Mus musculus: one gene and its partner. The protein of the gene in region 1 binds, or shares a complex with, the protein of each later gene. Links are inferred from orthologs where the notes say so. Each region holds a gene or a part of one and is shown on either strand. Other genes may lie near its edges.

Evidence for each region.
Region 2: the proteins of Aifm1 (region 1) and Chchd4 are in contact, whole or in part, in a cryo-EM structure (PDB 9GQZ), measured with the Homo sapiens proteins. The link is inferred for Mus musculus from reciprocal best matches to the Homo sapiens genes AIFM1 and CHCHD4. Residues at the interface, in NP_004199.1 of Homo sapiens: Pro345, Tyr347, Ser500, Ser501, Leu502, Pro503, Thr504, Val505, Gly506, Val507, Phe508, Ala509, Lys510, Glu558, Asp559, Tyr560, Asn602, Ala605, Lys606, Phe608, Asn609, Ile610, His611; in NP_001091972.1 of Homo sapiens: Arg5, Glu7, Lys9, Asp10, Arg11, Ile12, Ile13, Phe14, Val15, Thr16, Lys17, His20, Thr22, Pro23.

The regions. Positions count from the first base shown.
Region 1 is NC_000086.7:48,510,462-48,514,890, reverse strand, and holds the start of Aifm1 (apoptosis-inducing factor 1, mitochondrial isoform 1 precursor), read left to right. Parts: upstream 1-1,327; 5' UTR 1,328-1,552; coding exon 1,553-1,655; intron 1,656-4,429. UniProt on the Homo sapiens protein: Functions both as NADH oxidoreductase and as regulator of apoptosis.
Region 2 is NC_000072.6:91,470,538-91,474,928, reverse strand, and holds the start of Chchd4 (mitochondrial intermembrane space import and assembly protein 40), read left to right. Parts: upstream 1-1,505; 5' UTR 1,506-1,591; coding exon 1,592-1,613; intron 1,614-4,391. Other genes in the region: Tmem43 (transmembrane protein 43), read right to left, coding at 1,031-1,042.

The DNA of each region.
Region 1 (4,429 bases):
CGAACTCAGAATTCCACCTGCCTCTGCCTCCCGAGTGCTGGGACTAAAGGTATTGTCACCATGCCCGGCTTATAGCTTTTCATCCTTAAGTCCAACTGTCTCCAGGTCAGTTGAAGCCAACTGGGTGACTTGTCCAAGTAGCAGAGGCAGGATTAAACCTAGGTCCTTATGGAGGAGAAATATGTTTATGGAGGTCAATATGTTTAAACCCTAAAAATATTACTTTTGGCCTCAATGCATTTACCCTCTGAAATACTATTCTTTCTCTTCCACTAGTGACTCTGTCCCAAACTCCTTCCTTGCAGTGGCTCTGTGATAGGTATCATCTAAATGACAATAGATCCCATTACAGTGATCACTTTCCATGTTTTTATATCCACAGAAGCCTCTATATAGTACTGTTCCATAATAAGGGACAGGGCATCTTCACCAGGAAGCCTTGGCAGGCTTGATATGAACAAGGCTGGCCTCAAATTTCCTTGCTGTCCGTCTGTCTCTGTCTCTGCCTCTGTGTCTGGGAGTTCAGGTGTTAGGCCACTACACACAGTTTCCATAAATACTTAATCTGCAATTCAAAACTCCCACAGGAGAGCAAAATATCTACTTTCTCTCAGTTCTCACTCTGTATCTCCCACAACTTTCTAAGTCCTGCTTAGAATTTCTTTCACAGAAAATTTGTCAGGCACAAACTTTTTTGTCAGCTTTCTCTTCTCAAGCACGAAAGCCATAATAGCGCGAGACTATCCACAACACTTGATACATATGACAGTGATAACGGAGATATAACACGTGAAGTACACGTCCCACTCCATCCCGCCTCCCCCCCACCTCCGAAAAAAAAAAAAGAAACCAAAAACAAACAAACGAACAAACCGGGCTGCTCAAGAAATGGCCAGTTAGTTTTAAAACATGGATGGAATTTATTCAGGATTCAGGAAGTCGGGTGTAATGACTAAGACTGGGGGAAAGACTAGAATTGGATCACAGAAAGAGATTCAGAAAGGCTTAAATGCCGGCTAGCTAGTTGCCTAAAACGCACAAAAAAAAAAAAACAAAAAACAAAAAACAAACCAGAAAGTAAAGTTCTCAGGTCAGTTTTGGTGACCGTTTTGCTAGCAGTCCCCATTACCTACACAGCGGCTGCCCCACCCGCTGCCTCCGGGCAGGAGTGTCCCTTGTCCAGGTTTCTTAAGCGGCTCAACCTACTACAGGGCCGCTAACTCTGGGAAACTTGCAAATGCGGAGGCGGGGCCCGGGGCTTTGCAGCGCGCGTGCCGCCGGACGCATGCGCCGACCTCCTCGCTGTGGGACCAATTGCAGTGCGGTGCTGAGTCTTACGCCTGCGCAGTGGGTCTCCAGCCTCAGTGCCTTTCCCCCTGGCTCTAGTGGGCCGGTTCCTCTATCCAATGTCCACTCGGGGCTGGGAGGAGGAGCCTGCGTAGTGTGCGTGTGACGGGAGGGGGAGCGGACCCGAGCCCGTGGTATTCGACCCGTTCGACGGTGCGTGGAAGGAAAAGGAAGGAGCGGGAGCTTCCGAGGAGTGATCGCCGAAATGTTCCGGTGTGGAGGCCTGGCGGGTGCTTTCAAGCAGAAACTGGTGCCCTTGGTGCGGACGGTGTACGTCCAGAGGCCGAAACAGAGGAACCGGCTTCCAGGTGACTAGCTGACCTGTCCCAGGCAACCCCTTATCCTACTTCAAAGTCCAATGGCCTAGGTGCCATGGGCTCCCCATCCCTCGCAGAGCTCCCCTGTCCTTCAAAAAAAAAGAACTTTCTTTCACAGTCTCAAGAATCTCCAAATTGGCGGGATATAAACCCAAGAGTTTCCAAGCTGAGGAATAGGCATACTTATGCCGGCCTGACCTTCAAGAGATTTGAACCCCAGAAATCAGCATGAGGCCTTCTTCTGGGAGGCTTTGCGATTTGGGGATAACAGAACGCTTGGCTATAACAGACCATATTGCCCATCCTCTGCCACCTTGCCTTTTTTAAAGCATTGAGGTCAGATGGATGTTGTCATTTAGTGGTTGGGACACAGTCACAAGTTTCTCCTGGAACTCAGATTATCTGCTTTACCTCCCAAAACTCCACGTGAGAGCTGTACATTTGATTGTCCTACGACGTGGCAATGGTGTATCACCAGTAGAAACTGTATGTCAGATATCAAGAGAATTAGCTCAGATTGCCTTGAGATGGCCAGATAGTTGAATTCCTGGTGGTGGGCTTACACGCTTCAATGAACGTTTTTCGATCCCCCTCTATTTGTTCTCTGGGAAGTTGTCTCATCAAACTTTAGAGCTGGAAGGAATTTTGTGGTCAACACCAACCCATTCATTTTATGGATAATAAATTGAGGAACAAAGAGGTGAAATTACTTGCAGAAGGTCACATAATTAGTAGGTAGAGCTAAAGCTACTCTGCTAGTCTCTAGGCCCCTGATCCTATTGCTACACGCCAATCCTACTTCCTAAAGTTTGACCTGAAACAGTTAAGAATGAATTCGCTTCTCTTTCCACTAATTAGCCCATTGTGCTTCTGATATCCATGGGTTTATCTGAGCATGGTTTGAGTCATCATCTTTTCTACCTATACAGATTTGTGGGAATGAATGCCCCCCCTCCACAATCTCCAAGGTGTATTTTTAAATCAACATTTTAAAAAATCATCATCCTAGTGTAATTACATTTATAATATCAAATGTTACCCTGGAGTCTTTTTTGAAGTTCAGATGCCTTTTCTGTAGTTTAGGAATAAGAAGTGGAAATACTTTTTGATTGTTAGGACCTTTGCAAATGTGTTTGGATAGTTTGTCCACTTCGTACATGTCAAGAAAAAATTCTTAATGGGTGTTATCTGCTGGGTATGGTGACATATGACTTTAATCCTAGGACTCTGGAGGCAGAGGCAGCAGATCTCAGAGAATTCAAGGCCATCCTAGTGTACATAGGAATCTCTAAGTCAGTCACGGCTATATAGTTGCCCATCTCAAAAAAGTCAATGTTATCCCAGTTACCTCTTGGAACTTAAGAATTTCTGTTTTAGAAAAAAAGCCACCTCTAGTTTTCCTAAAAACCCAGTGAATATAATTCTAATTTGTGTGAGTTCTGTACTTGGAAGCACTGGTGCTCTATGTAAATTGTGGAGAAATATTTAAAAATTTAGACAACCCAAAGATACTACCCTTTCTAATATTGTGCACTTATTTTGCTAAATACATAGCTTTTTACCAGAATTCTGGTGGCTAACCAAATGTTCTCATCAATTAAATATTCATTTGATTATAACATTAGATCTGTGGAAAAATACAGGACTGAAATGCCTTTTCCCCACTGCATGGCTGCGGTTGAAGGCCTCTCCTGTAGAAAATACCAGGACTTCCTGCAATACCCATCCATCTTTTTGCACACACTTCTTTGTCCATGTACCAGCGGATGACATCACCTGCTTTAAAAATGAGTGGGGGGTAGGGAATACAGTTTCCAAAAGAAATGATGGTAATGTCATTGTAGGAATGAATGTTTTATGGCTCATTTGCCAGTTGCCTTTAATCTGATTTCAGTTTCACATAACAGCATCTGCCCTATGTTTTCACAGAGGTGGGTAAGAGACAAGGTCTATGTACCACTTTGCCCTCTTTTATCCCCTCCCCCAATGCTTTGCCAGGTTGTTAGCAGTCTTTCTTCTTTGCTTTTATTTTTCTTGTTTTAGTAAACCTTGAAGCCTGCATTAGAACGGCGTCATCTACGTTTCTCACCATTGTAAAGCTCATTTCCATCACACCTGGCTTTTTGTCTTGAAACCTCAATACCTGCTGTTCGGCTTTATTTGGATTTTCTGCCTCTTTCTAGAAATGATTAAGGGTAACTCAATCACAACTCTGTGCCTGCATCTATTACTGGGCAGCAGAAGGGGTTGATAATAAATATTTTGTGTTCTATAATATTTTATTTATTCACCAAACATTATGCTGCCTATTGTGATCAAACTGATCACTTAACTCCCTGACCTAAGGTTCAAATACTTACATTTTTCTTTCTTTGGAATCATAGTATCTTTTTTTGGAGACAGAATCTATTATGCTGCTCTGATTGTCCTGGAACTCACTGTATAGAGCAGGTTGGCCTCATGGAGGTCTGCCTGGATCTGCCTTCTCAGTGCTGGGATTAAAGGTGGTCACCAATAGCTTGTCTTGAATCTTTGCATCTTTAAAGAAGAAACTGAGCTCTTGGTGGCCTAGAATCCTAGATTGTGGGTAGTGCCAAATGGCACATTGATACTTTGAGACAAGATCTTGGTATGTATTCCAGTTGTTACAACTCACTGTGTAGCTAAGTATAATCTTGATCTCATGGTCCTTCTTCTGTCTTAGCCTCTAGAGTTCTTTTGTTGTTGTTGTTTTCTTTGTTGTTTTTTGTTTTTGTTTTTTGGTT
Region 2 (4,391 bases), on another chromosome or scaffold:
GGCTGGGGATGTAGCATGCCAAGCTGGCTACGAGCCCCCAAGCAGGTGTCTTCTTCTGGGGAACGGTGAGATATGACGCTGATGAGATGGATCAGAAGGGGTCTGCCTGCTCTTGCCAGGCTGGCCTGCTGGTTGCCTTCTCCTCTGGCTCCAGTGCAGCATTCCTAACCTTTGGTTCTCTTCCCCTGCCAGGGCCAGACAATATGCCAAACAGATATTGCTTGCACAGTGGGTGAAACAAACTCCGGCCTCCCAGGAGGTGAAGTCTGCCGGACTGAGGAGGGGCCTGGGAAGAGGGTGTAACAGGCCCAAGGAGGGCTGTAGTGACACTCTACCAAGGAGGGAGTAAGGGTGTGCCTGGGGCTGGCAGTGCTCCTGAGATGGCTTCAGAGGCGCTTTCACCAGAGGCACTGGTGACTCACCGGCTTCTCCCACACCCAGTCCCCTAGTAGGTGGTGTTGCTCCGTTTGTTGAATGAATGTTAAGATTCACTAGGAAAATTCTTAAGGACTAGTTGCAGTAGGAAGAGGCCAGAGGTCTGGGTGAACTATCCTCAGCTAGGGGCTCTAACCAAATCAGTGCACCAGGAACCCGGCAGCAGAGAAAAGTCTCCCTCTCCACGTCATCCAGCCAGGCTAGTCCAGCTACAGTAGCATCACACAGCCTTTGAGTACACACCCCCTAGGGAGCGAAGACCAAAGAAGCATTTGCTGGACAGTTCCACCTGGGCAGGATCACCTCATCAGTCTGCTCACCAATAGACACTTTCCCCGTGGTCCTTCAGTTCCCCAAGTTCCCCAAGTTTCGTATCCCCAGGGGCCCAGAGAGAAACTAGGAGTGGAAGAAGCAGCCGTGCACGAGCGGACTCGACTAATTGCTGAGGCCCACAAACGCGCAGCCCGAGATGGAGAAGCTCAGAGAGCTGAGGGCAGCTGCACCCACTGGGGTAGCACCCCTGTAAGACCCAGCGCGGATCCAGGGAAAAAGCGGCCCGGATGATGGTGTCACCCGGGCATCAGGAAGCACTTACGTTCGCTGCCATGGTGGGCTTGGTTCGCTGCCGCCGTCTTGCTCTATTCCGCTAGGAATTGGGCTGACGACCGGAACGCAGAATACGGTGACCTCCTGTCTGCCACAGAGCTGCAAGACTTCTCGTGGAATCCAGGACCTGGCGGGACGCAGGACAAAAGTTACCGCCCTGCCTAAGCCTCAAGTTGTCTGCGCGTGCGCATCTTAAGGGCTGCTGGGAAATGTAGTCCGACGTCTGACACGTTCGCCACAAAATTACAAACCACTGTATTTCACTGGTGCGCGTGCGCGCTGCAAGATTTCTGGGAAATGTAGTATCGGTCTAGTTGGAGAGGCGCAAGGGCTGCTGGTCAGTGTAGTTTTCGACTGAGAAGCGGTTCTGGTGCTTAGGACGCGCGGAGGCAGGCGCGCGGCGGGCAGGCCTGGAGGGGGCGGGTCTGTGCGGGCCTCAGTGCCACCCGCCAGGCCTGAGAAGCGGCGAGGGAGGTCACGGCGAGAAGGTGTATCCGCTCCAGCCGCGCCCGCTGCCTCTGCGAGCTGCAGAGGACTGTCGGGAACAACCATGTCCTACTGCCGGCAGGAAGGTGAGTCGGGCGCTGCCATGGAGACCGGCCGGGACGGGCCTGCGAGAGACACGCGATCAAGTGGTCTCCACCGAGCGGCTGTGGGCCCTTTAGTGGGCCTCACGCGGCGGTTTCCAGACGAGAGAGGCAGAGGCTCCGTGAGGAACGAGGCCGGTCCAAGGTCAAGGTGAAGCCCGAACCCGGGCCTCGGAGGGCCTCACGTGGGCCTGGCCAGTGTGGAGCACGTTGTCTCTGGCTGGGAATCGGGGACTGTTAGGAATTAGACACCGTCGCTCCTAGCACTCCCCACGTGGTTCTATCCCGCCCAGGCTTTTTAGCTATCCCGAAAAATTACCGCTTGGGCTAGAGTGGGCGTGCTGAAGTGCATCTGGCAGGAGCATTTAGTGAGCGCCTTCTGTGTACTAGGCACGCTTTTAAACTTAACGTAGCCATTTTTATATGTCGGGTTCCCTTACTGTCCACGTCTTATCAAACGGAAAATTAAGACAGGTTACTCGATCCAGGAACCCACATCAGGTCACGAAACCGGGACCCGCTATGAAAGAGCTTCCTTTCTTCCGTCATTTCTAGCCACGTTGAGGACCACTCACTACCTGTTGTTACCTGTAAGCAGCAACCCAGAAGAATCCAGACCAATCTGTTGCTCTAAGGTCTCCCAGCACTGACTGGCTTCTTATGTCTGAGCTGCCAAACCCGCCAGGCCCTAGTTTCCACTCCTGTAAATTGAGAGATCAGGCGTCATTTACTCTGGTATTCACGAAGCACGTGCCCAAGGCAGGAAAGAGTTGGAGGGCTCTTGAGAATACAAAGCTACAGAGAGACTTGGTTCACCCAGAATTCTCAGCTCCTTTACTCTTAAGTCTAGAGAACATGAGGTACAAAGGAGGAAGTGATCCACCCAAGGCCATACATCCAGTTAGAAGGCCCCAGTCCGCTGTAGAACCCCCTCCTTCCCAGCATCATCATTGGTGCCTCTCCCGAGGACTGTTTCTGTTGGTTAGCACTTGGTGTTCCGCATACGAAAGTCCTTGACCCAGCACTGTTAGGCGGATTCCTAGGATGACTTTTGTTTCCTCCAACCTAGTTGGTAGGTTGATGACGAGTCTTTGAGTTAAGGAGGCTATGCAGATAAACATTTCTACCCCTCTTGATGGATTTACAGACCTCGGGTTTTTCAGGAAGGAGGATGGGTCCATCAGCTGCTAATGCAACATAGAGCCCGTCTTCTTCCTGGTTCAAAAGGTGTGTGTGTATGTGTTTAGTGGTTCTCCGTTTTTGAGACAGTCTCAGTATGTGCCCCTAACTCAAATTCTTCTCTTCGTCCCAAATTCTGGAATTAAAAACACATGCCGCTACCTACAGTCTCTGTGAGTTCAAGGCCAGTGTAAAATAAATTGCATGTTCCAGGCCTGCCAGAGCTACATAGTGAGATCCTGTCCAAAAACAAACCAAAAAATAGTATGTAAGGACTTAGGAGACCATGCGGTGTTATTCTTCCAGTCTCATGTTCTTCCTCCTGCTCCTCAGCTCTTCTGGCTGTGCCCTTTGTCAGGTGCTTTCTTCCTCCAGCTCTCTGAATTGCTAACTTATCCTTTAAGAACCAGCCCAAAGCCGGGCGTGGTGGCACATGCCTTTAATCCCTCACTTGGAAAGCAGAGGTGTGTGGAGTCCTCTGAGTTCTAGGACAGCCAGAGCTATTTTACAGGGAAAACCCTGTCTCAGGAAAAAAAAAAAAAAAAAAAAAAAAAAAAAAAAAAAAAAAAACAAGAGAAATGGGCAGGAGACATGGCTCAGTGGTTAAAAGCACTGACTGCTCTTCCAAAGGTCCTGAGTTCAATTCCCAGCAACCGCATGGTGGCTCACAACCATCTATAATAGAATCTGATGCCCTCTTCTGGTGTGTCTGAAGACAGCTACAATGTACTCATATAAATAAATAAATCTTTTTAAAAGAGAAAGAAAACAAGCAAAAAACCCAGCTTCAATGCCACCAGGTCTTCCCTGATACTTTGTGTCTCTATAAACACACTGAAATTATCTCCCACCAAGCTGAGAGATGGCAGAAGGCCTAGTATACTGTGGGTGTTCAGGATTTAATAGAGTGACCCCAGGCTCATGCCTATCCACCATTCTAATTAGGCAAATGGTTGCCTGGACAGTTATGTCAACAGTCCATACATCTAGTCAGTCTCCAGGTTAAAGACCTCATTGACATTAAGAGAGTCCCACCGTGTGGATGAAGCCTCAGTCTGGCCTTGTGCTCTTGGTGTTTCTGTCAATTCCACACATGGTTCCTTACTTTCCTCCTAATAATAAACAGCCTGCCTCTTTCTGTTCATTCAGCAAACTTTTTTTATTGCAGTGTGATGTGCACTGAGTGAGGTGGCACTTTGGATCTTTACAGAACAAGAAGAAGTTGGCATTAAAGCACTCCGGGATGGATGGGTAGTTACAGACAGCAGGAACTGTGCTGAGACACTGAGGTTCTGCAGGGGTTGCCAGGGCTTGGAAGACCATTTCAGATGCTCTTTCCTCAAACCCTTCCCAGTCTTCAGACCAGGAGAGAATGAACACTGGCTTCTTAGAGCCACCTTTTGCCTCAGGTTTCACTTGGTCTTGAGTTCCTAATCTTTCCTCTACCTCTTTTAGGACTTGTGCGGGCTACTGTGCCTCCTTTATTTAGTGCAGGGATCAAACTTGGACTTTTGTGAGCATGCTCAGCCAGCATACTACAGACTGGGTGATGGCCCCAGTCCTTTTAAACTATCCTATCCCCGG